Tribolium castaneum: one gene and its partners. The protein of the gene in region 1 purifies or fractionates together with the protein of each later gene. This does not show direct contact. Links are inferred from orthologs where the notes say so. Each region holds a gene or a part of one and is shown in the gene's direction. Other genes may lie near its edges. The genes, in order: Syx1A, Snap29 and synaptosomal-associated protein 25.

Region 1 (10,490 bases):
GTTAGGTGGACGAAGCGTTAGTCTTTTGTCATCGCCCCACCCCTTTGATTTGTCATTTTTCCGATAAAAATTTTGAAATTTTTTGCAGGCCCAGAGCGACGATGACGACGTCGGCCCCGACGATGTGGCTGTCAACGTCGAAGGCCGCGACGGCTTCATGGATGCATTTTTTGGCGAGGTAATTAACCTCGTTTAAGCGAGGCGGCCCTGTACACTTGTCAAAAAACGCAGCCCACTTTGATCAGGTCATGGCACCTGTTAACGAGGGTGAATTTGCCTTTTGTTCAGTTAGTAACGACATTTTTCCCTAATCAGGTCATTATAAAAGAGATGTTTCATATGACGCGTGAGTCATTACCTAATCTGATCTAATCTTCATCAGATGTTATGATTAATGAAAGTGACGTTTTTGCACGTTAATCTCCGAAATTCACTGTTACCAACCACCTGCCGGTCAAAGTGGGCCATGACTTTGAAATTCAGTTGCCAGCATTGACCATCAAAAAACGTCACAATTGACAATATTGCCAACTTAATTTCGGCCGGAAATCCAGTTTATCCTGCCGCTTCCGTCATGAAATATGTGGAAACGTCGATTTGCATGTAATTTGCAATTTGTCGAATTTGAATTTCAGACAGTTTTAATGTCAAAAACGCGATTTTCGTCAATAAATCTCGCCGAAATAAATAAAACCCCAGCGCTAAAACAGTGCTCTAAATTAATTAAAGTTTCCTCTTTAGTATGCATGATCCCTGTTTAGGGATTTCATCCAATTTGATTAAGAGTCAAGGACGTTTTGGAAAAATTATAAGTTCTGGACGAGATTTTTATTTTATTTTTTTACGTGTCTTTCGTAGATGACGCGGCTTTTTTATTTAATTATCGGTTTTATCAGAGAATTTATTGAAGGCTGCATGACTCATTGTTGATAAATAAAATAGGCAAATAAATAAGTTAGTGTCGTTTGTGAAAAATTTCAACACTTAATAAAAATTATACGACGTGATTATGGGTCAGGTGTAACACGGAATGGTTTTTTGCCTAATTGATGAACGGGTCGTCGTGTGGCCAAAACTAGTGTTAAATGAGTTTTTGTTTTGTCATTTCGGTCACGTGACTGTTAATTAGACTAATTTGTTTCGTTGTCGATTTTTTTAATTTCAAAAGCCACCTGTCAATGAACTGTTTCAAAGTATGAGCACAACTATTATTTGTGCTCGTTTGTGATTCACTCGTTGCTTTATTCATGAAGTTTTATCGAATACATTGCGTGAAGAGGAAAAGGAAAGGACTCGTATAGTTGTGGGTTTATCTAGTCGTTCAGGCTTAACAAAGGACTCATATTTTGCTCACAATAACAAAAATTAATGAATGACAACTGTTTTTTTTTGGTATGTTTATTTAAATTGAAATTAGAGGACGCACGATATTTTTTTGCTTCGATAAGGAAACTCGAGTGCATTTCTTATCTCGGTGTTTTAATTGGTCGTCAAAAAAGACAAACAAACGCCCGGCTTTAAACTGCGACCAATTGGGACACAGTTGTGACTTTTTGTTGTGTGTTCTTGCGATTTCTGATTGGTCGGGATTTACAAGGCAAACACTTGACCAATTAGGGCCGTGCAAAGCGGAAAGAAAACCAATTGAATTAAATAGTGCTCAAAATTTGACGTATTGCTCTTTTTATCTTCGGATTGGTTCTTATCTTTACAATCTATTTTGAATTATAAATGAGGTCCAAAAAAGAGAGCAACGAAACGTGCGTCTGATTGGCCTGTCTTTATTTTTAACAAATGATTGGATAAGAATTTGACCAATTAGAAGAGTCGTCTGTTGGAAGCAAACACCAATCGAAACCATTTATTTATTGTCAAAAAGGAAATATGAATATTTATTTATAATTTTAAAATTTACATTTTTATTTTTTTTTTAAAATCAAATCATACTTTTTTTAAGTTTTTTTATACGACTTTTAATACTTTTATCCGCAAACGTGACTTGAATGCTTCTTTTCAACCATAGAATAAAAGTTCTACTTTTGTGCCTAAGTATTTTTATTTTTACCAAAATGTTTCCCACTTTATGGAAAATTTGACGTGTCACACGTCGATTTCTTGTGATGCAGCAAAGATAGAACCAATATTTAAAAAAAAACTGTCATCAATTTAATTACGTTTGTAGAAAAAATAATATATGTTATTAGGCTTGAACTACGTTCGGCAAAATAAATATACAGTTTTGTCATATAAAGTATTAATACATCAATAAAAAGACTTGTTATTGAAGCAAATTGTGCTGAAAAAAAAAATTAAACGAGTCAAAAGATACGAAAAATGATTACTTATTGATGAAATTTGAGTTAAAACTGTTAATGATTGAGGTGGATTGTAGTAATTATTTTGGTTTTTTACATATCCACATTAAAAAAAAACTACAAATTTCAAAAGTTGTTATTAATTTGAGTTATGGAGATTAAATCGAAATTATTTGTTTTTTGTCAGAAGAGACCAATAAACGGGCAATAAAGTGCAACAATGGGTAAAAATTGCCGTAATGTCGCCTTCGGCAAAGTATCAAAACGAATCGAATTTATCGCTGAAAAGCGTCGAACATAAACGTTGCCAATTTATCTCGCAACGATCTCCTGTTCGCATATAACACCACTTGAATATTTTTTTCGTGTCAACGCCACCCTCTTTAGCCACATTATCTCCATAGCCTTGGAGGTGATATTATTTTACACGATAACAGCACTAAGGCCATCCTGTGCGATGGTTCCCCGAGGATGTACTAATGTCAGCAGCTCTAACGCTACATAAACATAAATTCTAGCGTTATTTGCGAGTTGATGAAATTCGCCAAATGTGCAACAAGTTATTGAAACACTCTCATTGGGGATTTGCAATTCGAATTGGTAGATTAACCAAATGACAATCTAATTTGGTCGAGGGGCACATCAAACAAATCCCTTAATCCACTTTCTTTTGTTCTAGGTGGAAGACATACGAGACATGATAGATAAGATCCAAGCAAATGTAGAAGAAGTGAAGAAGAAACACAGTGGTATACTTTCAGCGCCGCAAAGTGATGAAAGTAAGTCGTAACATCAGCATTTTACGATTCAGACTCTCCGAAATTGAATTTTTACGCCTTGTACTGAGTTTTGTCGTTAACTAAGTAGTCATTTTTTCTGTGGAAAAAATCGCGTGTCTTGCAGAAAACGAGATTACAATCTGTCGTCGACCCTCTTGCTTAGTCACGCGAATTATGGATTGATTCGATCCAGACTTGCTGCGAATTTTGTAGATAGGTTCAGGTTGTTGCATTTTTTCTCCACCGAAAGATAGAAAGGTTGAGAGGAAGTCGGCGCGATATCGACCGCTTGCGACCTTTCGCACAGGATGTCTTTTATCAAAACGCGGTCGCGAATGTAATAATCGAGGATATATCGCCAATTTACGAATTCAAATTGTGGAAATGCGCGGGAGTGGCGAGGGCGGGCTTACTCACATTTATTTAATTGCAACTAAATGTGAGCGTAATTAACAAACACAGCCTGATGGAATCATTCATAACTAAATATAGAGACAAATGTAGAAATAAAGTCGGAAAAACTCGCGTGACTTGACCTCTGATTAGAGCAAATCGAGTCTAAATAGCATTGTTAGCTAATATTAGTCACTGGGTTATTTTTTCTGTTTGAAAAATGGTAGTTTTCATAATAAATAATCGTTTTTGTATGAAATTATCCCAGACATCCAGTAAAAATTGTACTGGTTTGTAACGAAAACCTTATTAAAAATATCAATATGTAACTGATTTATTTTACAAAAAAACGTCTAAAATCGAAGGAAGTTGAAATTTGTGATATTTTTGTGCAAAATTGTATTTAGTACAAGAATTTTACTTAACAAATATGTGCGATATTTTGTAAAGGACATCGAAAAAGCACTAAGTTATTAAGTCTAACAATACATCATTTATTCTTGTTTTTCAAGTGTTTAGCATATTTTCCAGCTAGATACTTAATTATTTCGCAAAACTTTCTTCAAAGTTAAAACTAAGCTTTAAAATCACTGAAATAGACCAAAAATTATAATATTTTTGTCTTTTTTATGAGTTTAAGCACATTTTTTGAGTTTCAGAACAAAAAATTATGTTTTTTTAACGTTTGATATTTTATTTTGCCAGGTTAAATTTTTGACTAGGTTCACTCGATCTAGCTCGTTTTTGGGCGAAGTCTTTTCTAAAAAACTATAAAGTTTGGTAAAATGTGTTATTTTTATATTTTTCAAGCAAATAAACACGTGTTTAAAAATATATTCTCAGTTTCTTTTGAAAAATTGAGTGAAAAATCACTATATTTTGTTGAATAATTATATTTAGAAAAGGAATTATCTCCAATATTTTCTAAAAAACAAGCCGAAATTTTGCCAAGTTTGATCGAAAATTGTATGAATTCGGCGTTTTTGAAATTTTTAAACACGTTTTTGAGAGAAAATCTACCTTTTTTAGAAAAAAAATTACTAAAAATAGGTGTATATATTATTTTATCACTTTTCAACCAGAAATTCTTTTATTGTTCAAGAACTTTTTACAATAAAAATGTTAAGCTACTTTTGTTTTTTTTTTAACATACACCTTGTAGAACAAAAATCTCAGTTGTTTTTTGAGATTTTACTAGAAAATATCAAAAAATCACCAATTTACATACAAAATTTTCTAATTTTTTCCGTTTTTGAGCCCGTTATTCAGCCAGAAACGCATTTATTTCGCAAAGTGTTGTTGAAAACAGACTGAAAAAGCTGAAAAGTTAGCCATTTATACTAGAATTCGAGTCTTTTGAGGTTAAAACTAAGTTTTTTCCGAAAAATTTTCCTGAATTTAGATGAAAAATTACCGAATTACATAGAAAAAACCCCAAAAGTTAATTAGTTTAATAATTTTTATTAGTGTTTTCACGAATTATAACTTTTGTTGTAAATATTGTCACAATTTTTATAATAAAGAGGAGAAAAGGTTATTTATTTGTCGGAATTGTCGGATATTTTTTTCCGATCGATAAGATTAAACAATGAATTAGTTAAAGTAGTGGAATTGTTTCGTAACATTTTCGAAATTCCGATAAACCCTCTTCCCATTGATATTATTTCGAGTGGTTTTATTAAACAAATTGTTGCGCTAAATAACACAATTCCAGCGTCGGAGATCAAAGCGTCCGCTCCATTATTGCAAACAGCCCAATTATTACAATTAACTCGGACGCTTCTCACTCACTAACATTCAAACAATTTTTTTCGCACATTTCTAATCTAAAATCCAATAAACGTGCCCGCTTTAAAAATAGAAATCGCACGTAAGTGTTGATTGAAATGAATTTATTGCGTAATTCGAGGAGCGTATTTTGGTGGAGGCGCCGGTTTTAATCGAACTTTACGCAGAAATGGACGCAAATGTTTGTTCCATTTTGATAAAACCAATCGTTATAGTTTCGGATGCAACTCCTACATGTTTATAGTCTCGCCCACACGCAAGACAAAAAGTCGGCGAAAGATGTTTATTGCGGGGGCGGGAATGCAAAGGTCGCCGAACATTAATCAAAAGCCAGAGAAAGGCGGAATTTTTATTGAGAGAATAACAGTTTTTGACAAATTAAATCCCCCTGTTGCTGTCTTAAAAATTTAATACTCGCCTCGCCTCGAAATATCCGCACTTAATGGCGTCTCAAGACATGAGTTATCATCTGAAAATTGGAACGTAAAGAGAGGCAAAAAATTCGTCCAAGGCGAGAAACGAAGTTTCATACGAAATCACGATTCTTTCGGGACTAACGTACCAAAAGCAACAAATATGAATCGGGGAAACTTTTCGCCAATTACTCGGCTCGAGTTGAATGAAAATACGCCGATCGATGGTGTGCTTGTCAAGGGCTAAAATTTTTTGTGCCCTAGAGTAAATCTAGGACTCGGTCGAGATCAATAAGGGGTTTAAGGACGTTACGTTTAGGTATTCCCTAGTTTATCATCTGCGGTAGCGCGAGAGAAAGCAAGCGGGAAAAGTGTCCCTAGATCCAGACACACGATTTATTTAAATCTGCATACAAAAAACACCGTTTAATTCAAACTGGAATTGCGGAAATTTACAACTGTTTGCCTGGACGCTAAGATCAATCGCGTTAATGCGATGAAAGAATCATTTATTTAGATATTAAATGTAGTGTCGGTAATAAAGCATGAGAACCTAACCACTGGTCGTTGAATCGATCGTCAACAAATACATTCCTATTGTTGGAAAAGTACTTAACACACAATACGCTGAAATTAGCTCCTCGAAATCGTTTTTTTTTGTGTTAGGCGACATTAAAAGATTCCCTATTTTTGGCCGATATTAGCGTATCTCATTAACCGAGTTTTGAAACGAGCTGCTTAAATATTTAGCGCAAATCTCGAGCTGAAAAAAAGTTTAATAAGAGCATTCCCGGTGAAAAGTTTCACGCCGACGAACAATCTCAATTTATATTGTGATGAATGGGGAATAAACCGAATTGAAATACGAGGCGAGATTTTCAACAAAAAGTTACGAGTTTTAAGCCAAACTTTTACGTCTGGAACATTAAAACACTGGTTCGAGGCAAATTTGATCGACTACGAGTTTTTTCCGTGACGATTTTTGTAAACGTAGCGAAGTGTTTCGAATGGAATTAGCTTTTTTACGTTATTTAAACATTTAACCACGGCTTGAAATTTTTTGTAACCGAAAATGTAATAACATGAAAGCATTTTCCTATCAATTTTAGCACGTCTTTAAAACATAAACGCAATTTGTTCGCGAATCTCGTTAAAAAGAAGCTGAAAACTAGTTATATCGAAAATAGTATTATACATATTTTTGATATTTTGAAGCTAACAGCTGTTTTTAAAAGCAAAAAAACTTGCTTTTTCCATATATTCCAAGCCAAATGTGAAAGGATTCCTGTTGTCCGAATGAATTGAAATTTTGCATACTTACGTAATCTGCGTGACAATGTAATTCTTTATAGTTATTTAGTCCCTAAAGGGGTTAAAGGGGGATTAAAGTTTAAAATTAGTTAAAAGCTGCTTTTTACTTTGCAAAATATCGCTAAATTTGACCGAAAAATTATCACAATATCTAGAAAAGTAGGACATTTTGCGTGTTTTTTATACTTTTTTTCTTTAATTTCTTAAATTAGTAGATTATGATAGAGAACTAAAGAAAAAAGACAACAAAAAATTTCTAAAAAAGCAAATTTCATCAAAACTTCTTAAAAATTGAGCCAAAAATAATGTTATTTTTGTCATTTTCAAGTAAAATTTCGTCAAAAAGAAACCCAAAAATCTTCAAATTGAATCTGAAACGCTGTTTTTTTGGTTTATTTACGTGTTTACACCAAAAAACTAAAGTCCAAAAAGAGTTTTTTTTAACTTTTTTGAGTTTAAAACGGCAAATTTCACCGAAAAATTATAATAATATAATAATACTTAGTTCTTTTTCTCCCAAATGTTGGCTCAGAAAAACTATTCCATCAGTTTCTTTCTTCTTTTTTGCTTTTCTAAGTTGGAGAATTAATGATTTTTCAAAATATCGTCAAAACAAGTTGAAAATTGAACCGAAAATATTGTTACTTTTGTTATTTTCAGGCCTTTAAGCTCGATTTTAAGTTAAATTTTTGCCTAAAACCATCCATTAGAATCACTTTTGATCATTTTTTGCTAAAAAAATACTAAATTTTGCAGATTCTGACAGTATTTTCGTCCTTTTAATTGATTTCCGAATGTTTTTTTTTGCTGAAAACGGTATTTTTGTCTAAATTATGTCAAAGAGAACGCTAAAAATTCACTAATCAGTATTTGTAACGGATTTTCGTCTGAATTATTTCACAAAATTTAATAAAAAAGTGGTGTTATTTTTGCCTTTTTGAAACTTCTTTAAGCCAATCGTGGCCTAAAAGCATTTTCCATAGTATTAGAATTAGCTTCAGAGACGGAGTTTCCCGAATTTCCGCCTTACTTCCGGTTACGTTCTCAATTCACAATGCACAAAGTTCTAGATTTCTAGCAAGATAGCAAGTTGCTTTCAATGGTATCGAGCTGCTTGAACGGATCTCATAATTTCATATTTTATACATTTATCAATAGTCGTTCAGATGCAAATCGCTTCCAAGTAATAAAACGAATTTATTTGTTTGATTTTTCTCCGGTACCGCCAATTTTGAGTTAATTGAAATATGCTGAGGGAGGTGAATTTAAGTTGGTTAAAAATCGCCTCGTTCCCAATTCGCCGTTTTATTGACAGTGAATTAATCAAGTCGATGACTTCCATTTTTACCTGTTGTAGTAGTCCAGGTGAGGAGCGGGCGTTTCACCTGCTCGTAGAAATCGATTATTGACTTGAATAATTAAATGCGATGTAATGTAATTTTTCTTAATTTCAGAAACGAAACAAGAACTTGAAGATTTAATGGCCGATATCAAGAAAACTGCCAATAAAGTCCGTGCCAAGCTTAAAGGTACCAAAAAAAATAAATAAATTGCGTAAAAGTGCCAAATTTTGATCGCTTTTTTAGTGATAGAACAAAACATAGAGCAAGAAGAACAAACGAATAAATCGTCGGCGGATTTGAGGATACGGAAAACGCAACACTCGACGTTATCCCGAAAGTTCGTAGAAGTCATGACGGAATATAATCGGACGCAGACGGATTACAGAGAACGATGTAAAGGGAGAATACAAAGACAATTAGAAATCAGTAAGTTTTTCGCCGAGTGATTTGATCGCAAGTTTATTGCGATGATTTTATTGCAGCCGGCAGATCGACAACTAATGAAGAATTAGAAGAGATGTTAGAACAGGGCAATTCGGCCGTCTTCACACAAGGTGTACGTAATTTCAATCTAGGAAAGTTTCAGGGATTAATCCCCAATTTTAGATCATAATGGAAACGCAACAAGCCAAGCAAACCCTAGCTGATATCGAAGCGCGACACGCTGATATTATCAAATTAGAAAATTCAATCAAAGAACTGCACGACATGTTCATGGACATGGCCATGCTAGTCGAGAACCAGGTAAGGGACCATTTTTTTAACGCTTTAAAAGGTAAAGTACCTAATCATATCAAGAGTTATCTTTTTTTCAAGACTTTGTCCATGTTTTTTAGTTAAAAAATTCAACAATTTCGCGGAATTTTGCTAAGTTAACTGTGAAAATTATAAACAAGTCGAAAAAAAGCCAAATAAAGTCGAAAAACGTCTTGGTTTTAGTCTTTTTTATGCGAAATTGAGCCGAAACTTTAACAAATCATGAACAAGCTATTAACAGATTTAGTCGGACAAATGCTGTTGTTTTTATTTTTTAAATTTTTGTTAGTTTTTAGTTAGAGTTTGTTATTTCGCAAAAATTTGTCAAAATCAGTCAAAAAACCGGTTAGTTGAATCGAAAATTATGTTATTTATCTCATTAAAAATGAGTTAAACAGTATTAAATGATGTCAAAAATAGTGTTATTTTTGTCTTCAAGCACTTTTTCCACGAGATTAAATTGTTTTTTTTTATTTTTTGGGTCAAAAATCACAAAATCTCCTCGAAAATCACTTTTTTTTGTTTTTGATATACTATTAAGCACGTGTTTTGCGAGATTTGGCTAAATTAAGTCGAAAAATCAATAAACTTGTTTGAAAATTAAATTTTTTTCGGGCCTTTTCGAACGTTTTTCTAGCAAAAGCGCAATTTTTCGCGAAAGAATTCTTTAAATTGAGCTTGAAATGCTATAGTTTAATTATTTTGCAAAATTTTGAGAGAAAAAAAGTTGAAGAAGCACTTAAATCGAGTCGAAAATTGTGTTGTTTTTGTCTTTTTTACTAGTTTGTGTACGACTTTGAACGAAACATTTAGTTTTTTTACCTGATTTTATTAAATATGACCGAACAGTTATCAAAATATGACGAAAATTAAATTATTTTTGCTTTTTTAATACGTTTTTTAGACAGAAATGCGCTTATTTCGTACCATTTCGGCAAAAACAAGCTAAAAATCACTAAATTATGTCGATAATTTTGCGTTTTTTGAACATTTTTGATTGAAATACGCAATTTTTTTGCGAGTTTCAGAACTTCTTTCAGTCTTTGCTACAAGGATTTAAACATGAATCTGAACTGTCTTTATGCCGAAATTTCGGTAAAAATACGTCAAAAATTATTACCTCATGTCGAAAATACTACTATTTTTTATTTTTCGAGCGTTTCAGAACCTTTTGTTGCAGGATTTTTTGTAAACTAAGCAGAAAAATTTCCATATTAAATTGACAGTGATTACCGTTTTGCGTTTTAGCACTTTTTGTGCAAATTTCGTAAAAAAATAATACTCTTTGTTTGCTACGTTAATTAAGGCAAAAAACGCTCGGTTTTAATTTTTTTGTTCGTTTTTTTTTCTAAAAGAAATAAATTTTCTCCAGGTGTTTTTTCCGTTGAACGA
Region 2 (9,765 bases), on another chromosome or scaffold:
TATGAGTTCTTGCATTCGTTCCCTTTGTCGCTTCTAGCAACGACGTTCGCCGTTTTGATCCTTTTCCTCCTCAAACGGACGCTGACGCATTTGGAAGTCAAGACGCGACCGGTTTTTCTCGTCGTGTTCGCACTCTTACATATAGTTCTATGTATATGTTTGAGCACGTTTGAGAGTTTCGGCCATTTTGAAAAGGCCAGTCTCATTGTCTGTCGACCGGTTTTCGTCCTCCTGTCATGGGCGCTCGGTTTTAGTTACTTGTACTTGTACCGAATCATTAAAAACGTCTTGGCCAAGAAAAGCCAGAACTTGTCCGAGATGTGCACACAGAACATCTCATATGCGTCGCATATAACAATCGCAGTGGCGCTACTTTTCATACTTTTGGGCTTCGTCCAATTGTATGCATTGTTCTTCATTAAAATCGACCGATTCAATGATGAGACTAAACACCATTGGATTTTGTGGGGTTTCGAACTTTCGGTCCGTTTCCTCGAAATTTCAATAATCACCCTTTTGGCAATCGTGGTGAGCTTGAAAATGTCGCAACGCGAGAAGCAAACCGGGGGATTCCCCCTCTTCCCGTGCACGACCAGCGACTCAAGCACTGATAACATATACCCTAACAATTGTAATACCAACCCCAACGCGCTTAACTACAGCCGGAACGAGATGATTATGGACAACATACCAACCGAACCAGTCGAACGTCCCAATTTGTTAAAAACCGCCTTTCAAAACGACTCCTTCGATAAGAAATCAACCCTAGAACGTTACCATTCCGATTCGGAACGCACTAGCAATTTCGACCGTTTCGAACGCCCGAATTGGTCCGATCGGTTCGATTCGCGTCCGAATAACCACGAGGCGAACTTCGGCCGAAGTTCGGCGCGGTTGAATTCGGCAAAGTACTACACGAAGCCGAAGTATGACGATGAAGGCGGGGCGCAAGAACGTAATATCTATAGCGAACCGGTGGATAATCACCAGTACGAAAGGACGCGGCATGATTTCGAACGCGGGGATTTCGATAGAAGGAGTCGGAATTCGTCGAATACGTCCGGGAGGAGATCGACTGGTCGGACGCGTAAAAACCATGCTCGACCCCATCTCGGGGTGCAAACCTTGCCGAACCACCAGGATTCCATGCTGGTGGACGAACAAGGTTTCGTCAGATTTAGGCACATGCAGGAGGAGAAACCGAGTCAGGGGCATTTTAGTGATGCGTGAAATTCGGGGCTGAGTCGGACTAAAGGGTAGTGAGCCGAGGGGGCGAATTGCAATTAGAAAAAAAGTACAAATTTCGATACATTTTGATGATTTTTGGAGTTGTCAGTGCAAAAAATGGATGCCGGGTTAAATTGGGCTGTGGCGCCCAACGTGGGGCCACGACCAACTAACCAAATCTTTGAGAGAAAACGAGTTTTAAGCTGCAATTATGGTTAAACACACTCATGATGGCATGTCTACTTAATTTTATTGAAGAAATTTGGAGTGAAACACTTGAAAGACATTAAACAACGACCTAACTATACCTAGTTATTTATTGATAATACTCATTTCGTGACGTTTGGAAGCGCAGGGTACTAGATAGCCCCGTTTCGTGTGATTTTAGCAATAATTCCGTTAATTAGAGCTCACTACCCCCGCCGCCCCCGATAGACGGTTCGGCCTAATCAAAACCCACTTTCGCTTTTGACGTTTTAAAAAACTTAGCCATGACAGTCACACGTGTGAACGCGGTCCCTCACGAGGACAAACCTAATAAAGTAAAAATCCACTAATTGTTAGATTATAGTGTATGTACGATTATAATACTTTACGATGATAAAGTAGCAGTGTATAAAAATGAATTTGCAAAAGTGTACATATTTATAATGTTAAGTGACTATATATAATTTTAATTTTTTATATAATTTTTGATAAGATACAGGGTGTTCGTGTTGACAACAAACAAAAAGAACGGCAGCTACTATGACCCGATTTTCTCAAAACTCTTCTCCGAATTGTTTCGTCCCCTGTATATTTTTAGTTAGTTTAGATGAACGGACTGAATTCATGTTATTTATTATCGTTCGGGCTAAATACACGAGAAATTACCGTCCTAATGACCAAAATAGGCGGCGGAAAAATCGCTCGCCAGAGGGCGTCTTTTCCGGCGACGTGTCACAAATATGTAGATGTGTTTTGTTTGTATATATGTATCTAAGCCAATATTTAGCCTTGCCATTTTTAACTGCTGGGTTTTTTAATAACGTAGTAAGAGTTAAGGAAGAAGAATTATTATTTTTGTACATTATGTTCAGTATTATTTTTTTACGTTCACAGTATTTATTATTAGGTTTCCTTTCTCACAAAAGACTTGATTTTTATACATTCCTCGTTACTTGCCACTCTTTACTTTATAATGTTCCTAAGTGACGTACTTATACCAGTAATTCTGACGTTTTTTGCCAGTATTTCTATAACGCCTCTACTTGTATTAGTATAGAGAGAATAACATTTTTTGATTTTTGGTGTCACACAAATGTTATTTTAAACAAATAAACTACAAGATATAAGTGAATCTGGTGATTTTCCAAATGTACAAAACTGATGAAAAATACATTTCGTAAAGTCATCGCTTTATTTATACGAATCGACTTCTATTGTATTATATTATTGTAAAATATAAACTATGTCTAAGCTTGGATTCAATTAATCCAATCCCTTTCACTTAATCCTGCCAGTTTATGTAACTAATTATACAAAGGTGCATTGTGGGTTGCTTTACATTAATAGCTGAAATAATTAAACGTAATTACACTGACATGAACAGTTAAAATCGTTGTTGTGTGTGTTTTACAAAACAGACAATGTCGGAGGCTTTGAATAAGAAAAGCAAACAATGAAACGATTGCTATTATTCCACGTAATTACAGCTGAATACGTCGATATTTCAGCGTATAGGCAACCAGTTGGGCGAATAGATTCGTATCCCAAGTAGGCAACGTTTTGGAAAATTTATTCCGGCCATAATATCACACGTCGTCGCCGTTAAAGTCGGCGAAATTTGCAAGTCGCGATAAAGATCATCGATTTAAAGCATAGGTTAATCCGTTCCATTTCGTTATCGGTCACGTTCCGAAACAAATGGACGAATACGTTTCGAAAATCATAAAGCGCCATCGTTGTGTCGTGGCTCTAAGTTTGATAAATGCGAGGATCTGGACGGAGAATTAATGGATGTGTCACGGCTTCGCCTTAAAAAGGGTGCAATTTGTTTTTTTCCTCATGTCTAGAGGTGGTTTTCCCAAAGAAAACGAAGAAAAATTGAAATGAAATTCTGTGATTGCGTAACCACGCCCACTTCGGGCCGGGAAATTTAAAAAATTTGATTTTCTGCCACTTTCATTAATAATTGACGACCTCGGGGGTTTACCCAAATCTGCGGAATTTATGTACGAGTTGTACGTCTTTGACCCGAAAAGCGATCCGATTACGGGAATGCCTGATTATTGCTATTATTACCCGACTAAATGAATTTATGGCCGGAGGATAACCTTTTTTGTTCCAAGGGAAGCGAAGAAAAGATCCGGAGGGTGATTTATTGGCCCTATAGTATTGTTGGTTGCATAACCAATAACGAACGTAGCGAGTGCGCCAATTGTATTACTTTCAGTAAAATGTTTCTGGTAATATTGACAATTGCAAACATTATTTGAATAACCCGATTTAATCCACAATGTACTACCGATTGCTGTTTTTATTGTGTATTGTTTTTTGTTGTAATTAATTCCAATCGGCAAAGCTCGTCCAAATGTTAAATAAACAATGTGTTTGTTGATTATTTTATCTGATATTAACGAATTAGCGCTCGAACGGAACTCTGCAGCAGACATTAATTATTTGCAGTTTATAAATTATAATAATGAGGGAGGATAACATGTAATTATTTACTAGTTTCAAATTTATTTTGGGTAAATAGAAATATATTGATGGGCGTGGCCAATTCAAGACCAGTCGTACCAACGCAAATTAAGTCAGGCATGAGATCATTCCAGTATCATCTTCACGGCCTTGACTTTTCTCCGTTTAAGAATAAATTCATCGCAAAATGAAAAAGAAATCACAAACACGTTTGTGTGTCCGTGTGTTGTTTCTCAGTCACGAGATTGTGTGAGTGACGCAATTTACCAACTTTCACTCAAAACGCAAATCTGATTTTAGTCATTTTGCCACAACGACAAGAAGTGCATCGGTGTGTTTGACAAAAAAAACGCAATACAATGAATAGAACGGTGAGTTTTTGCCGAATTTTTGTGAAATCTCAAGCCTCCGGCAATCGCCTTGTCCCACTTTCATTCTCTATTCATTCCCAAGACGATTAATCAAAAGTTATTGGCGTAAATATTTCCCAAAGTTTAGGCGCATTCTAAATTTGGGGAAATTGAGTTGCGTGATTTAGTGATTTACGATTGGTGACACTGTTAGTTATCACGTTTCAACGCTGCCAACTTAGAAATTTACAATGACGACGTCATAAAGTTTGGATTAATGACCGAGGCCGCCTCGATTAGAAATGTCGCGTATGTTTACTACCAACAGTCATGTGAATCCATTCGGGGGAATTACCGGATTAATAATTATTAGCCCAGTTGGCTGAGACGTAAACAATTGCCACTAATCGTAAACCTCACGAAAAATAAACCGTTTTATTGTTACGACTCCCCTAAACCGGGCTTGATATTTTAATTAAAAGTCCTGCCAACCCCACAATTTGATTGTTAAAATCCCCAGTTTTTGGCCCTGTTGGCGCTGACCTCGGGGGCGGCGTGCGACGTCGCCCACTTGGTGCACGTCCAGCAAACCGAGCCGTCAACACCGCCGCCGCCCCCAAAGCCGTACGCTTTTGGTTACGCCGCCGGTCGTTTCCCCGGCCACATCGACCGGACGCATTCGGAGGTTTCCGACGGTTCGGGGGTGGTCCAAGGCTCGTACTCGTATGTGGATCCCCGGTTTAAGATCCGCACTGTTGAGTACACGGCCGATAAGAACGGCTTTCACCCGGTTTTGAATTTCGCGCCAGAGCCGCTCCCATCCGACACGCCGGTGGTGGCGGCGGCCAAGCACCGCCATCTCGTGCAGTTCGCAAACATCGCCAACGCCAGGCATGCCGCCCCCGGGACGGTCGTGGTGCCAGTCGACTCGGTGGCGGTGAGCCGCGCCAAGGACAAGCATTTCAAGCTGTTCCAGAAAATCGCAGAGGAGCATGCCAGGCTGGCGGCGGCGCAGGAGGCGCAAGGGGGCACCGAAAAGCCCATTTATTGAATTGTTTAATTGCGAATAAAGTTTTTTGAGCAAGGTGTATTGTTGGTTGCCTACACTAACTGTGATGTTACTAACTCAAGCAAGAAAATCCCCACGTCAGTGTCAATAACAAATGTCAAAATTGCAACTTTTGTGTTTTTATTTATTGTGATATTCCGCCCCCCAAATGTCGAATCCCTACGCCAGGTCCACTAACCCGTTCGAGAACGACGACGACGTCGACGATGAGCTGTTTTTGCGCAACTCGCGTCGGTCGCAAGGGGGCCCCCAGGCGTCTTTCGACGACCAGTTGCAGTCCTTCCAGGAGCGCAAACGGGCCATCGAAGACCGCACCATCAACAGCACGGAGAAAAGTTTGAGTATTTTGCGCGATTCCGAACAAATTGGCATCGCCACAGCCGAAGAATTGATGAGGCAAAGAGAGAAGTTGGAGAAAACTGATAAGCAATTGGATGAAATCAACGCGACTTTGAGATTCTCCCAGAAGCATATCAACGGGATCAAGTCGGTTTTCAACAGTTTGAAGAACTACATGGCGGGGAAAAACGACGCAAGTCCGAGCCCCCCGTCAAAGACAACTAAATCAGAGTCTGAAGATTTGCACAAAGAGTTCGAGCAAAAGTTGTCGACTTATGACCGCTTCGAGAATCATCCCTCAACCAGGTTGAAAAACTTGGATTATAATAATGCGGGGCAAACGTCAGGGAGTAAGGATTTTAGTGCGAAACTGGACGCCAATTTGCAAGAAATGTGTTCAAATATATCACGCTTGAAAAATTTAGCCACGGATTTGTCGTTCGAGATTGACTCGCAAAATGACTTGATTAGCACCATTACTGATAAGGCGGAGACGGCTGATATGACCATCACCAAGCAGAACAAAGATATGATGAGAATATTGAAAAAATCCTAGTGTTTTTAGTTTTTAAAGCGGAAATCAAAATGTTGCACTTTTCTGTCTTGTAATTGATTGTAATACTCTCTGTTTAGTTGATTAGTAATTATTTGTATATTTGGAGCGTAAATGGATCTATCGATTGTTGTTATGATTGCATTATTATGTGAATAAATTCTTTAATAATGAACTGAACTGATTTAAACGCCCCCCCTTCCCACAGTGTTCTGTTTTACCGACATTGTCACACCACACTGACAGCCTATTCTCTGCTGACAGCCACGGGTATGAAACTGGGGTTGCATAAGTGGAAACACGAAAGTATGTGGGCCACCTCCTAGGGTCGGGGAAAGAGGGGTCAAACAGCGGGTGTATAGCGCGTGCTCCAAGCTTCTTTTCCCAAACAGCCAATAAGATTCGTTTGCGCAAGAGCAATTGTGTTTCAATTGTTTCTCACTGTTGTTTTTTCGTGAATAAGGGTCAGAAAAGGAGTTCCAGGGGATGTAAGTAAAAATAAAACTGATTTGTAACTGTATTAATTCAGTTTTGATGTATTTTTAGAGACGAATAACGTTCTCATGGGGTGAAGTGACGAGCAGGACTTAAATTAAATTAACAAAGTTATGTTGTTCCTCGAAAGAAGTACTGCTGCAAGTATCCAGGCTGCAACAACTGGTACTATACATCAACACTCCAGAGGGCTTTGTGAACAAGCACTTTTTTGTGTTTCCAAAAGACCCTACGCAGCATCAACAATGGAGGAACATTTGCAAGATAAGTTCCAAAAATTCAGATTTTTTTAGAATTTGTGAGGATCATTTTGACGAATCTGCTTTTGTGAATGAGAGGAAAGATCGTCTAAATTTCAGAGCAGTACACTCGTTCCCACTGAACCATCTGACATTCATTTACTTGAGGATCTGCCACATCCAGATCAACAAAGCAAAATATTTGAAGATCCTTCTTCATCTGCTTTGTCTGAGGAAAATGTAAATGTTGTTGGTTCTTTGTCTGTTGAATCACCTTCAACGTCATCTTTTGTAAATTTGGCATATAATGAATTATGCAGTTCCTCTCATTCGCAAAGTAGTGAAGTAATAAACAATTCAGATTCCACCATTTCGAACAGCAGCTGTTTAGAGAATCATAATGAAACCTCATTTAATGTAAACAAATTCGCGTTTCTGGATAATCAAGGTAGAGACGGTATTCTAACTAAAATTGGCTGTTCTTCCAAAGATTTGACACCGCGAAAAGAGCTGATGTACAAAGCTCACCGAAACATTCAGTCGAGGTTGTGTAGATTGAGCAAAACATTAGAAAAGGAAAAGGGTAAGGTGAAGACTTTGCAAAAATTGTACGATGCCGGAAAATTCGAGTTCATCACCGAAAATTTGAATGAAGTCACTAAGGCTTTCATTAATTCACAATTGCGAAATGTTTCCTGTCAACCGACCGCGCGCAGATGGACAGACGAGGATAAAGCTTTTGCTTTATCTTTGTACAAGAGAAGTCCGAGATTGTATAAGTATTTGCAAGTCCATTTTCAATTACCCTCTTCCCGCACACTGAAAGCCATTTTAGCTAAGATTCAGTTCGATACTGGTATTAATCCAGGTATTTTGGAACACCTGAAAAATCACGTCTCAAAAATGAAACATGCAGATCGTTATTGTTTGATGAGATGTCGGTTTGTCAAGGATTTCATTATGAACGAGCTAAACAGTGGTTACGAGGACATGGGCTCCTTGGGTCGCACTAACAAAGCAGTCAACCATGCTCTTGTTTTTATGATCCGAAGGTTGAGACTCCAGTGGAAACAAGTAATTGCTTATTACTTTACGGCAAATACAGTTAGCGCGAACAATCTAAAGTTTCTTATTGAAGAAATAATTTCACAACTTCAGAACATCGGTTTAACGGTAGTCGCTACTGTTTGTGATCAGGGCACTACAAATGTTTCCGCGTTGAATCAGCTTTATGCCAAACAACATCCCAGGCAAGGTTCATATTATTTCTTCATTAATAATCAGCCGATTGTTACAATTTTCGACGTGTCGCATCTTTTAAAAAACACGCGAAATGCATTATTGAAATGCAAAATTCAACAAAAAACTTTTAAATCGTTGCCCAAATTAAAGAAGGAGTATTTTAATTTCAAAGACTCTTACATGAAAATGAAGGTGAAGGTAGCCGCTGCACAGCTTAGCAGCTCTGTGGCTGCTGCTATCGAAACCTTCGTCTCTTTTGCACATATTCTGCCGTCTGAAGCCATTCATACGGCTGAATTTGTGCAGAAGGTCGACAACATGTTAGAAGAGCGCAAAAAAATCATCAAACTCACGTACGAAATGGATCCGAGTTTTGGAAAATCGCCAGAAATCGTCAGTTTGATCCGAAAAACCGAGATTAAAATCACAGCTGCAAATTTTTTTGTTTTGGACAAATCAACAATTTTGGACGTTTTGGAAACTATAGTGGCTTTCGTCATCGTTCTGGCACAATTCAGGACTTGAAAAAATAATACTCTCGACTGTATAATTTTTTTTTAATAAATAATTATTTTTTCCCACTCGTTTGAACAAACCCATAAAACAACCCATTTTCGTTCTTCAAAAGTTGGGCAGGTGGGCCAAACTCGGCCACCGTCCCAGCATCCATCACCAGGATCTTGTCCGAGTCCATGATGGTGTTCAACCGATGGGCGATGGTCAGAACCGTACAATTCCGAAACTTCCTCCTTACAACTTTCTGGATAACTTCGTCGGTTTTCAAGTCAACATTTGCGGTCGCTTCGTCCAAAACTATGATTTTTGAGTTGCGCAAAATGGCCCGGACTAGGCACAAAAGTTGCCTCTGGCCCACACTAACATTAGCCCCGCCCTCCAAAATCGTAGTTTCAAGACCTTGCGCCCAATTCGTCACCATTTCCTTAAGTTCAACCTCTTCAAGTGACGACCACAACTGACTGTCGCTGAATTGCTCAAACGGGTCCAGATTTTGGCGCAAAGAGCCCAAAAAAAGCACCGGATCTTGTGGAATTATCGCGATTTTTGAGCGCAAAATCGACAATGGGAGCGTTTTAGTGTCAGCACCGTCGATCAAAACAGTACCATCGAAGTGAAACAGGCGGAAAAGTACCGAAATTAAACTACTTTTGCCAGCGCCTGTCCGGCCAACAATTCCGATTTTCTCGCCTGGGTTGATGTTGAATGTGACGCTTTTGAGTACCGTTGTGTTGCTTAGAGGGTACTTCATGGTCACGTCGTCGAAGAGGATGCGACCATTGTTGGGCCACAAGTCCGATGGTACCGTGGTACCATCGTCTTTTTCGGGCTCCAGTTCCGCGTATTCGACCACACGTTCAACTGAAGTCATCTGGGAGTCGAGTTCGCTCCAGGTTTTGGTACCGTATTGGATTAAGCCCACCAGGGAGGTGGACTGGGTTATGGCCAAGCCAATGTAGCCAACCCACATTTCTGCAAAAAATTTACAGAAATTATTGTGAAATAATCGACAGTTTTTCAATTTTTTTGAAACTAAAATTTACAATTTTTTTA
Region 3 (10,590 bases), on another chromosome or scaffold:
TACCTTGGCACTGATAGGCTTGTTTGCCCATCAAACCCCTGGAAATATTATTTATTGTTACATTGTAAAGTTTGGATTAATGCTTCTCACCAAATAAAGTCTCTACAATGGGAACAAAATGTGGGTTGGCGGAGATACGTAGCCATGAATTTGTGCCCATTGACTTGGTGGACTCTTCGACGCATTGCACCGCGTCTTCGGTTGAAGCCTTGACGCTCTTTGAACTGGCGTCTCGTATCAATATCTCCTAAAATCACATTTTCCGAATCAAATGGAAAATTGAACAAAAATTACCTCGACGTTCTAAATCCACTTGCAGGCGGAGGCGGCCTGTAGGCTCCAAATTAACCTGGAAAATAATGAAAAATACAATAAAAATGCCCTTCTATCTGCGTTTAATTCAAAATCTGATTAGTATTTTTTTCGCTAATTTCGTAAACAATTATTTGAAGTGAATCTGTGTAGTTTAGTTTAAAGTTACCTTGTATTAATTCTTGTCTTTGTCTGTAAGTAATAAATTACTAAAAAAATGGGGGAGATACCTTTCTAATGTAGAGTCTAGCTTATAAAATGCAAGATTGTTATTTAATTACTTAATTAGAAATCGCAATTTTCTTAGATGCGCGTTTGAGAGGTAAATATTTTACATAATCTCAAAAACTAATAATCACACAGAATTCACCATATGCTGTAATACTCGTAGAGTTTTTATTTTTCCCTATGTATTGAATATTTTTAAAACTTTTCTGCTGTTTTTACTTAATAACTTTATCCTTTGCCTTTTTTTATATATTTTGTTATGAGTATTTAATTATTTTATTAAAAAATATGTGCTAATGTTACTTTCAGATTGTTTTATTCACAATTCACCAATAAACGATTTTGCATAATTAATAGCTTCACCTGACTTGACCTGATGTAACTTTTCGATAGCGACAAGGAAGAGAAAACGTGTTTTATTTCCCACTCTTAAAACTAATGGCAACTCTATTTCCACTATCTTTATCATTTTTGTTTCTGTTATTAATAATTTAATAATAATAATAATAATAATAATACTAATAACAATAAATAAATACTCAGCTTTCCGTTTTGGTTGAGTATTATTTTACTCAAAAATTTCAAAAATTTGCAGTTTTTTGACTACATTATAAAACATATTTTTTTCTTCGCTCGTATACTGAAAACTTGTGTCAGTGTGGGGCGCTTGGTCCGCCGCCTCCTTGGCTGAGTGTTAACCTAAAAAGTCCCAAAAATAGCCCATCGCGCGATTCCCTCAGTTGTTTGCGAGTTTTAGGGTGCAGTAAATCAATATTGGCTTTCATGTAAACACTCGGCTATTTCACCAACGTCGGCGGTTTTGCGCAATTTTGCGATGGAGCGTCGCGACGCCTCGCTTACCCAAAAATCTTTGTCGTGGTCCTGTAATAAATCCTCTAGCGGTATACTACAGTTGGCGACAAAGACATTGGGCGGTATGGCGGCGTCGTGGAAAACGGTCAACGTGAGCGTCCTGGCGTCGACGACGTCGTCCTCGAAGGACTCGTTCCAGACGGGGTCGAGCGTCTTCGACTTGGTGGTGGTCTGGGCCAGGTGGGTGTCATCCACGTCGATGGTGACGTAGGGGTCCATCTGGTCGTCAGACTTGCCGAACATCATGTTGTGGCGTTTCGAGCAGTCGGTAGGGCGCAACCCTTCGGCCTGGATTATTTTTATCCGCACTGTGCCCTTAAACATCGCACTCGCACTAAAACACGATTTGCGAAACCATAGAAGGATATGTAGCGGTTTTTCGGCGAAATACACGAACGCACAAGCTCTGGAGATTGACAGCCGACTATCCCGATCCCGTCGACTCCCACAATTCCCCGTTTTACATTCACAATGGATCCGATGCGCCGCGACGTACCGGGAATAGACGGAAAGTCGACGACCTTCACCCACTATGATATCTCTGCGTACAGTGGGAAACTCCGATAGCTATCACGCCATATCAATAATTCTTTCACCACCACTCTCACCAAAAATAATAAACTATGCAGCTACATCCTCTTTTTTTCGTGATCTTCTCGTTCAGGACACCTTTATAAGCTAATTGTGCCCAATTTGAATCAGAAAAATAATCGATTTCAACATTTTTAACTGCTACAGTGGCGTATTTAAGAATTTAGGTACATTTTTCGAGAAAATTATCAACTAAGCTGCATTTTTATATGAATCTCTACTATTTTTGTGAAATTTTGACCAGTAAAATATTGAGTTTTCAGTATTTTTTTGGAATTTCGGGATATGCAGTTAGTGTTTTTAAGTTAGGATGGTCAATTCTAAAAAAATTAAGCCTTAAAGACTTAAAGGCATTGACAACTTATTTCACTTATTACTCGTATTTTACGTTTCAACCTCGTTTTTACCAGAAGTTAAAAATATTATTCATTTTATGTCAGTAACTGAAAATGAAGAGAGATAATGTCGCTTCGAAAATTTGAAAGTGTAGGAGCGTAGTAGCCGTCTTTCTTCACAAAACCCTCTCTCTTCATAAAATCCTCGCAACAGCCGAAAACTATTGAATTTTTTTGTCACACGAATGAAAAAGGGATAATGAACTATTTTAAATCAAATTAAAAAAAAAGTTTTGCTTTAGAAAAATAATCGTGTTTTAGTAAAGTAAAGAAGTCAGTTTGTGTTGTTCGAAGTTTTATGATGATTTCTGATTTTGAATCTCGTATAATTCTTCCGAATCTCCACTAGAGGTAAGAAATCAAGCTGGTAGATCCCCTAGACCTCTAGGGACAAGAGTCCAATTTCAAGTTGGACATTTTATTTGTAATTTTTAATTTAAAATAAGATGTTTGATAATTTTTTCTTATTTGCTTTATAATTTATGATATCATAGGCGCGAGGCCATAGCGTCGTTTAGTAGAAGCAAAATGCATTTGAAAGGATTAAAGGGTTGTAGCGGAAGTAGATGACGTAGAGATGAGTCCTTTTTTTTATTTTTTTTTATTGTATTTATTCAAGCCTGAGGTAGGTACTACCTATTCGATAAGAAGGCGTCAAAGTGTAGAAGTGCATCCAAAAACCATAAAATTCTTAACGGAATTTTTTTAACAAAATTTTTAGGTACAAAAACAATGAATAAACAAAATTTTGACTTCAGGGAAGCATTAAGGAAGGCTCTTTATTTTAAAAAACAAGGTTTTTTTATTGCCTGTTTTCAAATTTAAACTGACCATTCGTATCAAAATATTGAATGAGTCTAAAAATTTGAAATGATTGGTTTCTGCCTTTATTATAATGGCCGACCTTAAGAGGACCAATCATAGCGATAAATATAATTTCTTAATGAATCTAAAAATCTAATTTGATTGGTTTTCTCCGGAATTTTAATGGCCGACCTGAAACAGCCCAATCAGAATGCTTACAAATTTTACAACAATCATTACGTGCCTTACGGTAATTCATTAAAGTCTACAGGTCTTCAATTCAATTTTTTTCTTTGACAACTCAAGCGCATGCGTGCGCATTTTTTCAATTTGACAAATGACGTTTCGAAAAAATTCAACAAAAAAGACAAAAAGTGACTGGAAATTGTCTCAGAATATCCAAATGTGTAAAAGGGGGTCTTGGGCTAGGTAACTATTGCAGTTTTAAAAACGGGGATGATGTTTTTTGGAATAAGTGTTGGTTTCGATTTTTTAATTTCTGACTACGATCATAATGCCTTTCGAATTTGCCTTCGACGGTGTTGTTTGTTAAAAAGAATGATTTGGGATAACATATAATAGAATACAATTGCAACGAGTGATTTTATCTCGTTTTTTGTTTTTAATTTTTTTGCGCCAAATTAGAGGCGCACGCGCTGTAGACTTTTTTGCCTTCAAATTCGAAGGTTATGTAAGGTTAGGAATGTGATGACAGGTCTTTAAAATGTTGAAAACTCTAAATATTAGCAATTTCCAAATCATCAGATGTCTCACATCATCTGTAAAACCCGAAATCCAATCTCATTTAACATTACTAGAAACCACATATGCTAAAGACGACTTCACGAATGTCACCGATAAAATCGCCTCGCACTTGGGTCGCAATCTCCACACAAAAGAACACCACCCCCTTAGCCACGTGCGTCAAAGAATTGTAAATTATTTCTACAAAAATTTTGTCAACGGCCGCGGAAACCCAACTTTCTCAGTGTATGACGCCCTGCCCCCGGTGGTAACCGTAGACCAAAACTTTGATAGCTTACTGACCCCCAAAGACCACCCGTCCCGCTTGAAAAGCGACTGTTATTACCTAAACCGGGACTATTTATTGCGGGCGCATATGACGGCCCACCAGTCGGAGCTGATGAGGGCCGGTTTGAACAACTTTCTAATGATTGGAGACGTCTACAGACGGGACGAAATCGACAGAACGCACTACCCGGTCTTCCACCAGGTGGACGCAGTTCGTCTGAAGACACGAGACGAGTTGTTCCCCAAAGAGCAAAGCTTGGAGATTTTTGAGGTGGGCAACAACACCCAGAGCACCGGAACCCAGCAGAAACAGGCGTGTCACACTCTGGAAGCGGTCAAGTTGATGGAACACGAACTGAAAACGACTCTGGCAGGCCTTGCCAAGGAGCTGTTTGGGGAGACAATTGAGTACAGGTGGATTGATACATATTTTCCGTTCACTCAACCGTCATGGGAGCTGGAGGTGTTTCACGAGAACAACTGGTTAGAACTGCTGGGATGTGGGATAATGAGACAGCCCATTTTAACCAACTCTGGCATTGTGGACAGGATTGGCTGGGCGTTCGGGATCGGGCTTGAAAGGGTCGCAATGTGTTTGTATAAAATACCCGATATTCGGCTCTTCTGGTCCAAAGACACTGGGTTTTTAAACCAGTTTAAAGTAAAATATGACGAAGACGTTACTTATAGACAAATCAGTCAATATCCACAATGTATCAACGATCTCAGTTTTTGGCTACCACAAGATAGGGAATTTTCGAGTAATGATTTCTACGACTTGGCCAGAAACATTGGAGGTGATACAATTGAACAAGTAGTTTTAGTGGACGAATTCACGCATCCAAAACTTGGGAAAACGAGTCACTGTTACCGCATTATCTACCGGCATATGGAAAAAACTCTGGTCCAGGCCGATGTCAATGTAATTCACAGCGAAATCGCCAAAGTTGCAGCCTCCACATTGGGAGTCCAGATTAGATAATGTCACAGTTAATCCCTATTTAATTAAGCAGCATATTGTTGCTCAAATAATTGTAAAATATTGCGAAATAAAGATTACATTTTAGGCAAGTGTTGGTTTTTATTTTACCCAAAAACGAGGGAGAAATACTATGAAATTTGTATTTCCCTCCATAGTGGTATTGGATCATGTGCAGAAGCGCTAAGTTCCTCCGCATCTCCCTTCCTGCTCCACTCAGTTGGCTGTTGTCATTCAAATGCGATAACCCTTTGACAGTTGTCCTGTCAAGGTGTTATGTGAAATAAAATTCCCAGTGTTGTTTATTACTGCTGAATTAGCCCAAGAATCGTTTAGGAACCCCCTAGTGCGTGTTACTCCCAGCCTAGCGTAAGTAGCAACGTTTCTCTCATGTAACGCACCATCAGGCATTTCCGTCCGGGCGCCGTGTCTTGTTCGAAGCGGGTGTCATAGGATGCTTTGGTGATTCATTTTTGCAAAAAAGATGATGTCATGAGATGCAAATATCGCAAATTTGGCTATTTTTGAAAATTCGAGAACGCGCCCGTCTTGGTTCCCTTAACGCGATTATTGATTTTCTCGGGTCAAACAATGTAGAGTACAGTCCCAAGCAAAAAAGATTGTGCGTCGTCTGGTTTTTGTCAGTTCTGTCATTCTTGATCGTAGAAAATGCCGGCACCTGCACCAGTCGCCGAAAATGGGGCCCCCCGAACCGAGCTGCAGGAGCTCCAGCTCCGGGCTGGGCAAGTCACCGATGAGGTAACACCTGGCGTAATTATGCACCACCTGATTAACATATTCAATCATTTGCAGTCTCTGGAGAGCACCCGGCGCATGTTGGCACTGTGTGAAGAGGTAAATATCCGCCCCCTTGCTGTACCCACCCAGATCCATACCGATAATCTTAATAATTCTCTCTAGGTGACTTATCCCTAATGTAATTTCGTGATAAATGAACCGAGTTGGGGTGTCAGGATCTTGTTTATTTTTAGTTGACTTTCGTAAAACTCATCCCTTCTTTGCTCTAAGTGTTGCAATTACCATACAATGATGGCATAGTTTGATCAGTGAGATAAGAGTAAATTGTTTGGTAATTGTTTTGGTGTATCTCTGTGCTGCATGTCTTGCACTGTCTTTTCTGTCCTCTGATTCGACTCAACCGGTGCAGAGCAGGACTACCGTGGGGCGAGCTCTGCTGAAGAATGCGGCGGGGTTTCGGGGACGGTTGCGGTGTGCTTACATGGACTCGATGTTGTGGTAGCGGTAGCCCTGCAAGTGTGCCTGTGTTTGTGCTGTGTTATTACGTGTACAGATATGAGAAATACCCACACGCACTTTTGCACACACACACTCGCAGACTACAGTTGAATATTTGATTCCCGACCACCGCCACCTCAAACACCGGCTCCAGAAAAATGATCATACAGAGATCTATTAAAACAACTAAACTGAAAAGGGCTTCTACACTTCGTTTCTGTTTTATTGCTGGCTTTGTAGTTTTTTCGAAATTTATATCGTAATGCAAATTAGTGTTCATAGCGTTTTTCTCGTAATAATTCATAATATTCAACCTTGCTAACCGATAGTCATCTTTTCGTAACTACTTATTGGTGTTTTGTTTTGTCTGTCAGTAAACTTGTTAGATCCGTTCATGTTTAATTATTTTTTATGGATATGGCTGTTTTTATTAATATTTCGTGTAAAGATTTGGAGATTACTTTTTATGCTTATATCTAATATTCTGAAGTCTTTAACCGTTTCATTATGGATATTGAAGAACAAACATAATCATGAGAAGCCGTGATGGGAACATTTTGTTATATTCACGTGCAGTTACATTAAGATTTTGTTTAATTAAACCCGTTTTTAAGTGTTTATTTTTGTTTCAGTGAGAAAAAAAATCATTGCAAAAAACATCTATTGAATTGTTAATCTTGTGTAAACGTTTATAACGTAAAAACTTTAATATTTTAACTGTAGTTAAAATCCGGTTAGAAAGAACTAATCCAGCTCTCAGTTCTCTGGAATGCTTTAAAATAGCCATTTCAGATTTTGCATTTTTAATACGTTAAGAATTACTTCCGCCAAATTATTAAAAAAAAAATCAAATATTAATTAGGAGAAATCGCTCGTATGCGCTGATTGTTACAATTTTACGGTTTAAACAGACCTGAAATCGAAAATACTTTATGCTGTTGTTGGTAATTTCTATGAACTTTATTAGGGTGTAGTAATACATTAATTTTCTAGCTTAGTTTACTTGAAAAAAATCATAATTTGTTTGTTCTTTAAAAAAAAAAATGTAATTTTGAAAATGCAAAATTGAAATTACTATTTAAAAACGTTCTTCAGATGTGAGAAAATAAACAAGTTTCGTTTTTTTCTATGCCAGTTCTGTTATTTCTTATTTTAGTATCATCTTATCGCATTCTGTATAATTTTTTTATCGTTTTTGTGGAAATGAAAATGACTGAAGATTTGAACTGGTTTTTGAGAAACTCGGCTTTTTGGCTATTGTCAAATGTCTACAATCAGTTTCTCTTTAGAAGAAAACTGAAAAGTATGTGGTGCCTATTGATCTTAAATTCGTTGGTCACTTTCCTGTTCTAAAATTAAAAATAAAAAAAAAATTCGCCTACATTCGCACCCTAAAAAAACCTAAAGAAGCGGAAAAAGTGTAATTTTGTTGGACAGTACAACAGAAATGAATTGTAGAAGTTTTGCGTGTTCATTTAATTTTTTTATTTTATGGTTATACAGTAAGGTGATCCTGTTGAAACCCTCATGTGTCGCGACTCGCGCGCCTCTATCATAGCTTATCGTACATCCTCCTCCAGCTTGCCGGGCTACCCATTCCACTCGCTCTCTAACTTCCTCTCTATAAATCTCTTCTCTATCTCTTCGAACTGAACAAATAATATACTGAGTGCTTATCTGTAGCGGGCGTGTACCACTTAACATCTATACTAACAAACAGTGTACACTTGTTTTGTGCTGCTGTAGAGCAAGGAGGCTGGAATCCGAACCTTGGTCGCTCTTGATGACCAGGGAGGTGAGTCTCTCTCCACTCACTCTATCATACTTAACCCAAATATCATTTAACCCAAGATCCGTCATTGTGACTCAAATTTTTGTGTATACCTCATCATATTCACGCACGGCTGTGACTTAAGTCACGAGCTGTGGCGCCATCCATCATCATTTTAAATGTGATGTATTTTACATGGATACAGACTGATATACATTTTGCATTCCCACACGTTTTGCATGCTATGGTGGCTTTAGCTTGTCTTACTGCTTTCACTACTTGTGTGTTATTCTGCTTCATTCCACATCTTTTTTGATATTTATCTGGGTGTTGTGGTTTAGTGGTGTGCTGTGTATTGTCGTGTAAGTATGCTACTAGCCACTGTGATGTTGTAGAGTACCGATGCCGGCGCCAAGACTATGGAAATGCTCCACCATCAAGGCGGTAAGCACTCGAAGTGTCCAGGTGTTGATTAACCATTGCTTTATTGGGGATTTAATTGCAATGCGCTCTTTCTCGCAAAGACCGTGTTGAGTTTGTTTTCATTTTTTACACCTGTGGTGGGCTAACAGGTCTCTGTTTGGTGGATTAACTTATCTATAGGTGTCGAAGGGACTAACAACGCCAGTCGGGCTAACACATTAGCTTGTGTTCGCCCAACTGACTCACTTATTTAACGGGGAGAACATGGTGAGAACGGACGCAGGTTACCAAGCTGATTGTCTTGATGTTTGTAGAGCCACGAGGTCGGGATGAAAACCCTGGTCATGCTGGATGAACAGGGCGGTAAGCATACTATCTAGTCTCGCTGTGTCTCTCTTTATATTCCAATTCACCCACAATTAACTGAACAATTCTCACTCCTTAGATCCGAACCACACGACATTCTCAGTTGAACTTTTGCCCTCCCAATCTTACCTGACGATACAGATTTATGACACAGTCTCTTAGTTGTGCAGGGCGAGAGGATTACAAAAAAGCCGGTAGTTAATAATTGAAGGCCGTTAATTAAATGCTCGATTTCAATAGGAGTTTGTGTTTGATTTATGCTCGAAGAAGTTTCTAACTTCCTCTCCAGGCATACATTTTCGCTTGAACTACTTCCTAAATTGTCCAGAGGGTTATTGGATTGGATTTGGACGCATTATTGAACTTTACTAAGAATATTTTTTATTTATTGTTTGCTAAAAACCCGACATCCTCGGGAAATATTTTAGTGAATAATTAAGGAGCATTTTTTATTTAAAAAAAATGTCAATACGGTGTTTAATTTATTTATTGTTCTCGTACTGTTTGTTTTTTATGAAATATGTGGAATTCTAAAATATTTATCGCACGGAGGCGCTTAAAAATCGAACGACAGCAGCCAGCCGGGCGTAAAATAAAACGATTCGAGGGACGGATAAGTAAGGAAATGTGTACCCAAATCGTCCTGCACAACTTTCCCATATCCTCCTAAAACTGAAACGTGTCCAAAACAAATCAATGAAGTACAGTCAGCAGTTGAAATGCTTTCGTCTCTTAAAATTTACCTACATTATAAAAATTTTACTCGAATGTCTCGAAACGAAAGCACTTCAGCGTGAACCTTCATCAATAAAAATAACGTTGTAATGGATAATATAATACATGATTCAAAGACAACAACATACATGAAGGATTAACACTGTCGAAGTAAGTTAACACTAACTCACATAACCGTTAAACGTGTATATTTCACACTGTCAGTTCTCTTATTATATTTCCCAGCTCAGGTCGTTCTTATAAACATCTCGAGTAGCATGAATTTTACTGAATACTAGTCTGCTTACTAAAACATCTAGAACTGTAGTGCATTAACCGAGTCCCTGACCTGGATTCGGGGATTCCCGAGTAGAATAGTGGCATGTGCATGCGGTTTGTTCCAACTCTGACACACACATCAAACGCATACACATTTCAAACTATAGCGAGTTAATGTGCTAAATCGCCTCGGACTCGTCCAAATGCTTATTGAAGTCGATATTGCGCAGAGCAACTGGACCGTATCGAGGATGGCATGGACCAAATCAACGCCGATATGCGAGAAGCCGAAAAGAACCTCACGGGGATGGAAAAATGTTGCGGACTGTGCGTTTTACCATGTCAGAAGTGAGTCCTTCAGGCGATCTAGATTTGTATACGACACGAGATTTGTTTTATTTTATCGCAGAGGGTCGTCGTTTAAAGAGGACGAAGGCACTTGGAAGGGTAACGACGACGGAAAAGTCGTGAATAATCAGCCGCAGAGAATGATGGACGATCGCAACGGTCTTGGGCCGCAGGGAGGATACATCGGACGTATCACAAACGACGCACGCGAGGAAGAA

The links.
Region 2: the proteins of Syx1A (region 1) and Snap29 purify together in Drosophila melanogaster (affinity purification with mass spectrometry; 3 studies listed by BioGRID, with this or other methods). This does not show direct contact. The link is inferred for Tribolium castaneum from reciprocal best matches to the Drosophila melanogaster genes Syx1A and Snap29.
Region 3: the proteins of Syx1A (region 1) and synaptosomal-associated protein 25 purify together in Drosophila melanogaster (affinity purification with western blotting; 4 studies listed by BioGRID, with this or other methods). This does not show direct contact. The link is inferred for Tribolium castaneum from reciprocal best matches to the Drosophila melanogaster genes Syx1A and Snap25.

What each region holds. Positions count from the first base shown.
Region 1 is NC_087395.1:25,527,273-25,537,762, reverse strand, and holds part of Syx1A (syntaxin 1A), read left to right. Parts: intron 1-88; coding exon 89-178; intron 179-2,994; coding exon 2,995-3,094; intron 3,095-8,453; coding exon 8,454-8,528; intron 8,529-8,585; coding exon 8,586-8,768; intron 8,769-8,824; coding exon 8,825-8,898; intron 8,899-8,948; coding exon 8,949-9,086; intron 9,087-10,490.
Region 2 is NC_087401.1:16,862,600-16,872,364, forward strand, and holds Snap29 (synaptosomal-associated protein 29), read left to right. Parts: upstream 1-5,382; 5' UTR 5,383-5,476; coding exon 5,477-6,223; 3' UTR 6,224-6,395; downstream 6,396-9,765. Other genes in the region: uncharacterized protein LOC100142142, read left to right, coding at 1-1,230; larval cuticle protein A2B, read left to right, coding at 4,269-4,280, 4,780-5,310; uncharacterized protein LOC135266932, read left to right, coding at 7,468-8,721.
Region 3 is NC_087396.1:11,297,061-11,307,650, forward strand, and holds the start of synaptosomal-associated protein 25, read left to right. Parts: upstream 1-5,425; 5' UTR 5,426-5,583; intron 5,584-5,880; 5' UTR 5,881-5,883; coding exon of another isoform or gene 5,884-5,911; coding exon 5,912-5,973; intron 5,974-6,027; coding exon 6,028-6,069; intron 6,070-8,217; coding exon of another isoform or gene 8,218-8,266; intron 8,267-8,637; coding exon 8,638-8,686; intron 8,687-8,979; coding exon 8,980-9,028; intron 9,029-10,254; coding exon 10,255-10,372; intron 10,373-10,433; coding exon 10,434-10,590. Other genes in the region: protein kinase C, read right to left, coding at 4-38, 91-247, 295-349, 1,402-1,737; PheRS-m (probable phenylalanine--tRNA ligase, mitochondrial), read left to right, coding at 3,928-5,217. UniProt on the Drosophila melanogaster protein: May play an important role in the synaptic function of specific neuronal systems. Associates with proteins involved in vesicle docking and membrane fusion.